Linked DNA regions of Neodiprion lecontei. The protein of the gene in region 1 purifies or fractionates together with the protein of each later gene. This does not show direct contact. Links are inferred from orthologs where the notes say so. Each region holds a gene or a part of one and is shown in the gene's direction. Other genes may lie near its edges.

Region 1 (5,224 bases):
AATGTGGTAATCAACGGTGTATAAGCATCCGTGTGTATATAGTGTTAGTGAATATGGTTGTACAATTCCGTCTTAGAAACGACTAAAAACATTTGTTAGATTATCGTATATACATACGTATACCTGCACACATTAAAAAAGCACATTCCATGGTTATTTTCACATTTTTTGAGTGAAAAACAGCATACTTGTTTCATTATAATATCACGTTTTTGGTTTCAAACATGCCCTAGTATATTGAGCTGAATCAGCTGGATGTCATTTTTCTTACACGTAAACAAATTATGTATATACGATCGTGTCATTTTATTATTAGTCAGCTCAACAACACTTGCACGGAACGTAATGTAATGAACATGATCAATGTATTTTTTTGAACTTAGGGATAGTGTTGTGGAGAACTATTTGAATTTCAACTATGCGGCTATTGCTAAGCATTGCTAGATCAACATATGTGATGATTGTAATAGAATTCGTGAAAAAGTGATTATCCTGAACGGAATATCCTGAAAATATTAATCCTGAACGGAAAATCACTTTTTTTCCTCATGTAAGCGTAGTGTGAAAAGACATATAGGACTAGACGCGAAAGTTTATAAAAAGTATTTGCTGCCTGATTGGTTGCACGTTCTCGAGAGATCAGAGAATATATATATATTTATGAAGTAAAATGCATCCTGTGGTCAGAAGGCCCAAAGTCGACTGAATTATTTATTCAGTGTTCATCAAATCACGCACGTCAGCATATAACTAGTCTATATAATTAATAGCTTGAAGAACACGGTAAACTATATTTACAATTGTATATCAATCTTATTTGTGTCAAAGAAAAAGAAAAAAGAAAATACTGATCAAAGTTAAGGGGATATATCCATTATTGGGCATATGAAAATTCATTCAATTTGCTATTATTCTAGAAGAACAAAGATTGCCTGCATTCAAAGACGTATCTTTGTAGCCAATTGTTGAGTGTTCACTCGTTATTTAATTATTTTCTTCATTTTGATCACAATCACAAACTATAAAGTCAAATTTACTCTCACGCGACTACTGACTATCTACCTTTAAAAATCTTGTATGCATTTCGTATGATTTAATGGCGCTTTCAAATTGTCTACACTAAAATGGATGGATCCCCTTAAGGTAATAAAATACGTAAAGTAGTAATTTTATGATACGTCCTGCACCCGGGATATCGGAATTGAATGTGCGATGCAATATAATACGGGTCGATAATGATTTTATAAATATGATGTCTAAAATGTGTATTTTGAACTTAAGAACTATTGTCTAGTGTAATTAGGAATATAACTTATTTCCATTTTTTCTGAATTATTCCTCGTGAATCTTAAGAGGCAGAATTAGGATATTAATCAATTAGGACAGTTTAAGGATAATAATTATTACTCCAATGATCCTGTTATGCACAAAAATCCGTGACTACTGAATAAGTTAAGATCTAAAACAGTCTCAAAACCTACACAGAAGTATCAATACCTTTAGATATTATCATCCCGTTGCACCCATACTAGGATCATTTATTATATGGAGAAATTTTATCGGAAAGTAATTGTTTTCTTTTTGTTGCATTAAGAATTGAACAACTAATGTATTCACAACTGAGCACTTCAAAAATGGGGGCTAACATTGAACAGTCTGTAGCTACTATTCGCGGGCATGTATCCCGATTAATAAAGCGGTTACAATAAACAATGGTTTGTTTTATCCAGCGATATACATATATACACAAACACAATTATAATTTCATTATATTTATTATAACTAACATCATAAATCGACAAATAGTTTTTTAAATAAAACTTTACTTTTGCTCAAATCTCGTGTATAATTTTTGTATCAACTAGAGGTCCACAAAAAGCGTTGTAATTACTTACCCTGTGCCTAGTTTATTTTTTTGTACCAAAATTTATCACGTGAATGCATTTCTTGCTTCCGTGTTTCAGAAACGGCATTTACTGCAATGAGATGAGATGTCAATTGTAAAAGATAGAATAACACGTAAAATGATTGAAGAAACTATAGAGCTGGTACAGCACGCAAGTAATATGACTGTTATTGTTAAAAAAGTAAATCGAGGACGTTTATGATTTGCAATATGCCAACAAAGTTGAACGTTCAGTAGAATGGCTAATACTTTCTTCTAACACGGTTATTCGATCTTAAGTATGTTACACACATACCATTCACATGCCTTTAGTCAGCATAAAGTTACCTCTAATCAAAACCCGCGCCCAAACTCTGCCAGCGACAGTGGGGCCTCTAGCGCACTTTCACATGCACCTACTTTTTGCGATTGCGCGGCAAATATGGCGGGAAAACTTCGCCGGCGTCAGTTGTTCCCAACGTGCTGCTGTGTTTAGTCGAAGTCCAGTTGTTTCATCACTTTAACTTTGGCGGTTGATTATTGTCGGTGGTAAACCAAGTCAAGAGTAAAAATGCCTACGAAAGTAAATAGAGACTACACAAAAGACAAAGGTGAGCTGCTTAAACCAATTAGTAATTTAACCCTGTAGTTTATTGATCAATTGATAATTCGATAACCTCAAACGTAGTGTTGTTATTTTCCAAGCTGCATTTGAAGCACTCGCAGTTCTGACTATTAGTTAAAATCGATTAGCGAAGAGAGTCAGTCAACGGCATTGTGTTGAGCCGTGCAACAAGGAAACTGAGATAAAAGTTCAAATTTAAAAAACAGTCAAAATTCCCTAAGAAGGCTTACAGGGTTGTCGTATGGGAACAATCTCTCCTCGTTGTTATTCTTGACAGTTGAATCTGTTCAGGGATCTGATGTCTTCGTAAAGTCAATTGCATATTGATTTTAATTACTCAGTTAACTTGTTCGCTGTTGCTTGTTGCACAGTAGAATGACCGCCGGATCTCTCCTTTCCCAGCTGACTTGTTTAATACATATATCAAGTCTCTGACGGTGACACACACTGGCAGCATAATTGATACTATAATGGTTGGTTTACAGTTGGATTGTTCACCGAGTTTTGCAAGTTGGTTCATTTTGGAAGTTCCAACAAATTGTATAATATTCACTAATAGTTTATCACTAACAGTGTAATGATACTGAAGCAATTTCTCAGTCGTTCTGGTTCTTGTGTTTTATTGTGTTGACTAAAAAATCTCAAGAAGAAATTTTATGTGGAATGAATCCAAGCAATTAAACTAGGAAGTCCCCACAAAGTCTTCTTTCAGAATCTTAGATGTTTCAACGATTGTCGATGAAGTTTGTAAGAATTCCAGTTCGTCTCTTTTAAGAACACCTACAGAGAGAGAAGATTTGCTGATTTTGATGAATTTTTATCCAACAAATTCATAATAAAATGTATTAATTTTTTTTGCAACTCACATAGGGCTAAAATACAATTTCTAACAGATATAAGAAAATTCCAATAAAAAAATACTAATTTGTCTTTCCAGATAAATGCTGTTACACTAGATTAACTAGTGTCATACATTCCTAAAGTTAATTATTGTTACCGAAGATCAATTTTGTTGACTTGGAATTTTTTGTCTTTAGTCTGTGAATGATTGAAGACAAAGCTTTGAGCGAAAAACAAACTATTTCGCTGAGAGATTAACTACTGGGTGGCCACTGGTCAGGGAAAACTGGAATGTCAGAGAATTTTTCAATTAGTTGGAGAATTTTGTGTGGCATGGAAAGAAAAAGAATAAAGCTTCCCTCACGAAGAACCTAAATTCTAAGAACAAATTTTTCTCATGTGCTCAGTTCCATGACCATTAAATAAATCATAAACATATTTTTGAATACTGATTGATTGGGAGCTTTATTTATTAGATACTCGAATTGACCCTAATAGTTCAGATTTTAGTCAGGGAAAAATTATAATTTGGTCAGGAAAAGTTTGAGAAAAGTCACAGAATTTTTTTGACTATCTTTGGTAGCTGCCATGAACTATGAATAAAATCACAAATAAATAATAAAACTTGGAAAAATTACATTCACAAAAGAAATTGCAAATAACTTAACCACTCTATAGGTACCTCGTGTGTATCTTGTAGTTTTCAATAGCAATAGATCACGATGATTTAAAAAACCTCTGGCGGTGGGGTATCGAAAACCAAACTCATTGGAACCTCTGCTGTGTGATCTCGGTGTAACTTGTGCACAATAACTGGTGGTATGGTATATATGGTATATATATAATATGGTTTAGAAATAAGCTTGCGTCGTCATCGACATAACTTAAATGGTTTTAATCAAAGTTATTAGATTCAGCCACTCACATTAACTCCCAACTTTAACTGTATAACGGAATTAGAATTGATATTTGTTAAGGTGATGCACAAGGGTCTGAACAGTTTGAAATGCTTCCTTCAGGTAGTATAAACTGAAATTGTGTCATGGACTGAATGCGGCAATAATCCATTATCTCTATTTTGACATTAAGTAATTTTCACCAATACTGAGTGACTCACACCAAGTACCTGATCTTTGTTACAGAACAGCTCAAGCAGTTCTTTGCCGAGTATGCGAAAATGGATGATAAATCAGGCGATAAGACGTTTAAATATCGCACTCAACTCACCAATATTGCTCATAGAGAGCAAGTTGCATTTATCATTGAACTTGACGACGTCGCTGAATTTGATGACGAATTGGCTGAAGCTATACAATATAATACTCGTCGTTATACTACATTAGTATCAGAGGTACAATGAGAGAAGAGTAATCATTGAAAGCATTTCTCTTATTTTTGACAGAAAACTGTTAGTAATTTTCAAAGCTTGTAGCTGCTATTTGTCAAGTCAACTTATAAAATTGAACAGAGCCTTCAGAAAACTAATACCCAATTTCACCTTGGAAGTCCGCACTTTGTTTATACAGAAACAATTTGTGTCATTCTGTGTCAGATGGGATGAAAATTCGTAATATTAATATGCAACAATAGATTTTTCAGAAAAATCTCTATTAAACAGTATAAAATTGTTCAAAATTTAGTAAAACGATATGATGCAAAACATAATCACATTTTTCAAATGCAAACCCTTCAGTTTAATTCCTAAGTTACAAAATGATGTTTTTCAATGTTACGAATTTCAATCTCATCCTTTAGATAGTCCAGGAAATGTTACCCGACTTTAAAGAAAGAGTCGTACCACCTAAAGATTCATTGGATGTTTATATTGAGCATCGTTTGTTGATGGAGCAACGCAACAGACATCCTGGAGATCA
Region 2 (7,707 bases), on another chromosome or scaffold:
CCCTATAATTTTTAAGAAAAAGAAATCGTCAGTATCCCAATACAATTAAATTATTAAATTAATTATTCAACAAAAGAAAAATTAAGGAATCCAAAAGCTATTAACAATTCTATAACTTTGTTTGAATATGGTTTCTGAATTTGGTATAGTATTAGAACTCCCACACACCTTTTTGACGCGTAATTCACTACAGTATTATCATCACCAGTTCCCAATGCCTTAGGAAGAGGCATTGCGCCACCAGTCATCAGAACTAGAAAGAATTTTTTAGCCTTGGTACTGTTTGGAAAATCAACAACTATACCACCAAAGAACCCAGCTTTGGTCGCTTGCGTTGTGACCAACTCAATCTGGTCGCTATTTTCTGGATAAAATTGAAAGACAGCTCTAGCTGTCCTTCCTAATGAAGCGAAAAGGGAGGAAAAGAACTGATACAGTCGTTTGACTGGATTGTGTGAAGTTTTGTCAGCATTGCAAAGCCACTGTAACGCAGATATGCTCACAGCTCCATCAAAGCTGCCAGCTCTAAAAGGCACCCCTTGTCCCATATCACTCAGAATAAGATCACCCTCAACCTCCCGCTCTTTAGCTACGTCTGAAATAACAAGAATACATTTACAATTTGATCCTAAGCGTCTCCAAACATTGGGAATTTTTCATTGTTTATAATTTTCGTCCACATTCACCAAATGAAAATGAACAATTACGACACTAAGTCAAAAAGAACATTATATGACAGTTTTAGAAAATACCCAATGTAATAGTCGAAACATACTCAACATTGCAGGAGATATATCGATACCGATCCACGTGTGGCCTTGGTCTTCTAATACGCTTCCGCTAAGTCCAGATCCACAACCAATGTCAAGAAGAAGGCATGGCTCGTCTTCAGGTAACAACAGCAATTCAATGGCTCGTTCGCACATTTGAACTTGAATATCCATCATCCGAGAACTAAAAATGTAAGTTTTGGAGTCAAACGAGACAAGTTTTGAGCAAATTCGGTATCACCGGATATATTGTCGCAAAAATAGACTCATACTTCTGTGTGTATTTCTGTGCTTCCACTTCATTGTAGAACTGTAAATAACAGAAAACGTAACAATTATTTGAGGTAACCTAGAAGTCATTCAGACGTACGAATAGTAGAAGTGGATGTCTAATCGTACCACTTCAGGCGGTGCCGAATGCTCTGGTCGTCTAGACATGTTCCAATCTGTTGCTTCTTTTCGAGACAAATCAAGTTCCGGAGAATAACGTTATTAATATCATACACCACTTTGACATGACACGTGCTTGGCGAGGTCACGAGGCCGTTCCTTGGCTTGGGCGATTTAGTTATCGAATGCACTGATTGGTCAATTGTCACGTGGTCTTATAAGTTCCGCTCTGCGTTTGTCCATTCATTTGCCCTATGCTGCACCAGAGATTAGTGTATGATAATCTGAGTAATTACTTTTCCGTACTTTATGCGTGCGACTGAAATTTAGCGTAAAAAATAATCATTTGAAAACACGTTGGCGTTCTACAGCGTTGACGGAAGATTTCAAAGACGTTCATCTTGGGGAAATTTTCTCAATCAGAACTTTACGAGTAAGTGGACTTGGCCACAAAAAGCCGTGTTAACGACTCGGTAGCTTCTTTATCGGCGGGAGTCAGTCAACCTTATAATCAATACACAGAACCGTATTAGGGTATCGAACTGTGATTCCCTTGTGTTTTCACGCATTCTAGTATAAGCTCTATGATTCTGTAGTGATTTCCTTTCGCAAAGATTGAAAGTCATACTTTGAAATTGTTTGAAATACTGGAACTTGGTAAAACGCCAGTGAATACCACAGGAGCGCGTCGAGAGCAGAGAGCAGCTGCTGCGCACTGCGCAGTCCCACAGTCGTCGTTCGCGCCTCGCGGTATTCGCAGTTTGCAAACGGATCATGGTGGTGTTTTGACGATTGTAAAATAAAAATTCCTCTTCCATGTGTTTGACGAGGGCATCATGTTTTTGGACAATATTCAAACTGAGTTTTATAACGAAATATTAGGAAACGTAAGTGAATATTTTACGACTGATCTCTGTACAATGACGAGAGGAATGGTTTACGTGTGCCTCTCTCTCGGAGAGGTAATTTTTGAGGTTGCCTAATTGCACGACTAATTAACAATAAAGTATTTTGAAATCTGACCCAATTTTCTAACTGTACTTAATTACTTTGTATCGAATTATTCGATATTTAATCGTGTCTTTCTTTCACTCGTTGTCTTTGAAAATGATGAGAAAATGAGTCGTTAGAACTGATGTAAATACGTAAGTAAACAGTCCCGTTCTTTTCATTATTCCGTTTATCATTTTGTAACTTTTGTTTCCGGTTTTGTGCTCGCTCTTCGACCTTATAATAATTTTTATTAGCTTAAGAGTAGTGTGAATATAAAAAGACGAAAATTCGGAGTGGTAAACCATATGATTTAGGCGCCCTTTTTCTTCCTTGCATACTTATTTACGTGTTGGGTGTTGCCATCTGATTTTTGAATGTTTTCCTTAAGTCACACAGCCTTAAAAAATTTCAGTGTTTTGAAATTTCGATCTTGACAATACTTAACTTGCAACCTTATCACCGAGAGTACCTAATTTTTTCGAAAAACACATTTGATCAACTATTACAGTAGTGTCCGTTTGTTTATGTCGTTGAACCAAATGTTCTCATATAAATTTATTAAAGGATTTTGTTTCCTATAGATAATGCATTTTCCTTGATCTTAGCACTTATTTCTATTTATTTCTTGGTTTATTAATCATTATCCTAAGAACCATTCGTCAACAAAGTCAACTGTGCTAAACCATTGTTTATATACTAACGATTGAATTTTCCTTTGTTTTTAGAGATGCTTATTGTTAGTCAATTTTGACATCGATGCAATATGTGCATGCAAAATATTGCAGTACCTTTTAAAAAATGACAACATTGTATATACACTGGTTCCTGTGCGTGGAATTCAAGACTTAGTTCAAGCATATGAAGAGAACTGTGAAGAGGTAACCATCAAAATCTTTGCTCCTTTGTATAACCAGTAGAACAATACATATTCAAGTTCACGGTCCAGATAATAAAGTAAAAGATTCATTATCACTTATTCCAATGTTTTTTCGTCAGTAAATGTTCTTAGTTTTTGTTCTATTTCTTTATTTCTGTATAATCATGAAGTCGTATATATTCAGTTCTATGTATTTTTTCATCTTGAGGTGTAATTGATGGCACAAACATGAACGAACAAAAACATAGAAACTTTTGCAAGATCTACGCATTGAAATTAAAAAACACAGGAATTAATATTTTCTAAACCTTGGTTTATTATTCACTATGAAACTATTGAAATACATCTAATTTGACAGATCAATAAAGAGAATACTTATAGATGTTTATATTTTATTAATATATTTTACTGTATTAGGTGAAATACGTAATATTAGTAAATTGTGGTGGAACATTGGATATTGTGGAACTTCTACAGCCAGATGAAAGTGTGGTATTTTACATTCTCGACAGTCATAGACCTTACGATTTATGCAACGTCTATTCAGAGAGTCAAGTCAGAATCCTAGGTCAGCCTGACAATGAAGAAAAGATACCAGAATATACCGAGGTCTTTAGAGATAATTCTGTAAGTATCATTTAACCTATATAATAGATTTCTCGTAAACTTATCAAGCTTAATAAAGATTTATCGTACAGATTATATGAAGCTTTTTAAAAATATTTGTTGTTACTTTATTATATAAAATAATTTGTTTGATGGATTTTATAAATACAACATCAATTATGGTAGTTTTGTTGAGAACATTCTGCTAAGAATAGGGGTAACAGGTTGAAGCTGATAGCGGTAATGTAACAGATAATTTTCAGACGGAATTATCATTTCATCTATTGGAATGAAGTAGAACATATTTACTTTGCAATTGCAGTTGCATTATTTACAAAGTGATGATTTTTACTTCATGTTTCATTACATTAACATTACCAACTTCAAACTCATATGGGAGTTGACAGTGCTTGCACTAATAATTGCCCTCTTTTCAATTCTGAACTTGCTTCACTATTCAGTCTGATGAAGAAGAAGAAGACACAGATGAAGATGATTCGAGTGTGGCGGCAGAAAGTAGGCTATCGAAACGTCGGCGATTGAATGAAGAAGAAATTGAAAAACGAAGAAATCGAAGGTTGTGGGATGCGAGTAGAACACAAATTATGTTTAATTACACACAATACAGCTACTATGGTCGATCGGTATGAAATAACAAATAATTTATCTAAATACTTATCTGTAAACATGGCTGTACTAACTAGGGAGTTTCAAAAAACGTAGGCTTTAATGTATGGCTTACCCTTAGAGTGCTGTGATAATCTATGAGTTAGCATGGAAACTCTCACGAGATACGTTGGACGTGGCGTGGTGGGGGATTATAGGAGCTACAGAACAAGCAATTCTTGGAAAAGTTGAATCCAGGGTTAGTGTTTTAGAAACAGGAAATCTCCAGAGTCACGTTTCGAGACTAAGTCATAGAGTTACGGACAGTGAAAAGCAACACGCCACAGCAGTCAAACTTACTTACGACAAGGAGTATCCTTCATAAATTCGTGCATGTTATATACATTTTGTAGTTTCATAAGAATACAGAAGAAATAATTAATAGTGAATATCAAGACTAGTAAATTCCTTAGTAACATTTAACAGCCTTCAGTTGGCTCTGTATCGTCATTGGACAGTTGAAGCCAGTCTAAAACATTCCGTACCAACGGCGGTTTCTCTTCGCTTATGGTCTTTAAGAGGTGAAAATCGCCTTAGGGAACTCCTGGCTGAGATGGGTTTACCTCTGGCACAATCTAAGCAACGATTTTCAGCCATGGATCTCAGCTTACGACACGAGTTTAAACAGATGATTGAAAAATTAGCATCGAAATACAATGTTGACAGCATTGTTGGTGCTAGTTTTACCCTGCAGTACGGATATAGATTTAAATACTGTGCCTCAGACGTGGTATACTCTATGCTGGCCTTACTTGAGTCCACGGTGGGTTTTGATAAGTTTCCATGAACCATATTTCCAACACTTTCAAACTACAAACCGACAAACTTGTTTCTTTGCAGACAAAAGAAAGATTACCACAACACTGCTTTTTAGATGCTTTGGACTGTCTATCTCGCAAGAAGAAAGATGTTGTAGAAAGAGGCATAGAAAAGGCAAAACTAATGCTTAGCAACATTTATAAGACAGCTCAAGGCATCTTAGAAATGAAACAAGTAAAGAATGCAGGTCCATTTCTTTATATTGTTATCCAAGATGGCACGTTAGATACTCGATTATTTGCACATGAGCACGCATTGATCATGTTGGCACAGTTTACACTAAAAGCATACGTAGAAACATCAAGATACAGGAACGCAACTAAGTGGCCACTGATTGCTACTGCACCTTTCAGCGAAGAAGACGGTACTTGCCTCGTTGTTGGTATACCACCACTATGCGAAGATCAACCTAGAAGGTGAGATAACGTTTGCATGTCAATTTTTCGCAAAATGACTCTTCAACAAATCACAAACCGCACAGTCCGCATGCATATTCACACGCAGAATTGCAAACAAAGAAAATTCTCAAAAATTATATATTCAAAGTATATGATTAATTGGCAACTGAATATGTAAAGTAAAAAAAATTTGTGTCTAACGTAATCTTGCATTATGAAAATCCTCGCAACGTAAACTTGTCGCTGTAAAAATGTGAATTACTATCTGACTCATGAATTTAACATTACTAGCCTCTTTGGAAGGGCATTCGAGCAAGCTGCTAAAAATACCAATTCGTATATAGAGGCGGACTACTTCGATACAACAAGTGAGTAATAAAACTTGAAAAACTTTTATTTAATATTTACAAATATTGTTATTTTCATGTTTACCAGTAATAAGACTGAAGATTCAAGAGCGGCCAAAGTTCTTTGATGCATTGACAGCGCTCCTGATTATATAAATAGTTAAGTAGAAATATTAAAATTTAGTTTATAGTTTTTATTGTAGTGGATATCAATCTACCTATACAATTCAGATCACCTGCTCACAGGTGATTAGCAATGTATAACAATGCAACTATGGGTATTATGATCAACATTTCTAAACCCAGACATATTTTAGAACCAGCGACGTAACAAGCTTTAACTTTATTTTAATCGAATCTGTAGTTTAATTTATTTGACATATTAATCTAATTTCACATTACCTATAACTAGATTTCCTTTACAAATTTTAAGCATTCAGGTAATATTTGACAGTTTCAATGTACTGGTCATCAATACACGGATTTGCAGAATATCAAATTTCTTGATTGAATCGTTAATAAGGGACTTCAAAAAGTCTTGTTTTATTTTACGACTTGTTTGACGAATTTTTTCCAACAATTAGGATGCGATCGAACTACTATAAGTTACTGTCACTAATTCGTTTACTTATGAGTCTCACTAATTTTTTGTCAGTTCACCATATGTGAAGTAAACTTTAGTAAAGCAGATTTATTAGCTTTGTATAAAATGGAATGAGAATATTGAATTCGTAAAATATACTCTTGAGTATTTGATTCCGGTGGCTACGCCGTAAACGGGCATCTCTTGTGTGCTTGGGTACAGGAGTCACGTCACTCTGAAGTTTAGCCACGGATGTGTTCGAATGAATAATAAACTCTTTATTGTACATAGAATGATTTTAAGAGTGATACTAGACTTAGCTCTAACGATAATGTAAGCATCAATTTATAACTTAGGGTCATGGTCAACCGTCGAACATTAATATGATAATTTGATACAGACATTACGCAATAAGTAAAAGTGAACCGAATAAATACATGCGTTTTTTAAAAATGAGTTGAAGATATTTGTTGTCAATCCCAACTTAAACGCTGTATACGTTTTTGTTATCACACCTCTGGTTTCTACAGTAAATTGCAAACTCGCAAGTTTCATCAACATCAGCTCATTCACAAACTGTATATTCCAGACCACCTTGAAGTATTCATAAATATTTTATGAATACAACGTGCCCATATTTTGTAACTGGCACATTCTAAAACGCGGAAACTGAAGCATGCAGCTACAATCGATAGTTGAATGCGTTACCCTCAGTGAGAGAACTGCACCATTTAAAATTTTGCTAAGAAGGAATCAGAGTTGTGAACATTACTTTGATAATGCATTACTATATTCATTACACATTACACTGCATAATGTGTAACGGATGTGTGCTGCATTATAAATTTAAAAAAGTAATATGTAATTGATAAGTAACATTACAAATTACAAATGAAAAAAAAAGTAATTTTTATTGGAGAGTATTCAATAGATTTTTTTTTTTGAATGATTTGTTTTTCTATATAAACTTTTCCACCCCCTTACAACTTGTCAAGAGTTGAACTTCGAGAAATACGTAGTGTGGAGTGATGAAGTTGGTTTTCAAGTGATAGCTTTCTCATAGAGAAAACTTTGTCAGCGCAATAAAACAATGAAAATGCAATGTGCAAGTTTCTAAATTGCACGTTTTTCTTCTGCGTGAAGTACTGATCTTTAAACAGAAGAAAATCGAATTTTCCTAGAAGAAACTTTTAGTTAACAAAATAAAATAATGATGAAGCAGTTATTCTATTTACAATAAAATACACTCCATTATAAA

Evidence for each region.
Region 2: the proteins of DNA replication licensing factor Mcm7 (region 1) and cell division control protein 45 homolog purify together in Drosophila melanogaster (affinity purification with western blotting; 3 studies listed by BioGRID, with this or other methods). This does not show direct contact. The link is inferred for Neodiprion lecontei from reciprocal best matches to the Drosophila melanogaster genes Mcm7 and Cdc45.

What each region holds. Positions count from the first base shown.
Region 1 is NC_060261.1:14,200,692-14,205,915, forward strand, and holds the start of DNA replication licensing factor Mcm7, read left to right. Parts: upstream 1-2,170; 5' UTR 2,171-2,456; coding exon 2,457-2,496; intron 2,497-2,962; exon of another isoform or gene 2,963-2,983; intron 2,984-4,492; coding exon 4,493-4,701; intron 4,702-5,105; coding exon 5,106-5,224.
Region 2 is NC_060262.1:27,230,933-27,238,639, reverse strand, and holds cell division control protein 45 homolog, read left to right. Parts: upstream 1-1,622; 5' UTR 1,623-1,996; coding exon 1,997-2,047; intron 2,048-2,878; coding exon 2,879-3,031; intron 3,032-3,447; coding exon 3,448-3,657; intron 3,658-4,097; coding exon 4,098-4,280; intron 4,281-4,384; coding exon 4,385-4,614; intron 4,615-4,728; coding exon 4,729-5,065; intron 5,066-5,142; coding exon 5,143-5,537; intron 5,538-5,810; coding exon 5,811-5,887; intron 5,888-5,954; coding exon 5,955-6,022; 3' UTR 6,023-6,905; downstream 6,906-7,707. Other genes in the region: probable 18S rRNA (guanine-N(7))-methyltransferase, read right to left, coding at 1-2, 169-595, 776-954, 1,043-1,080, 1,170-1,208.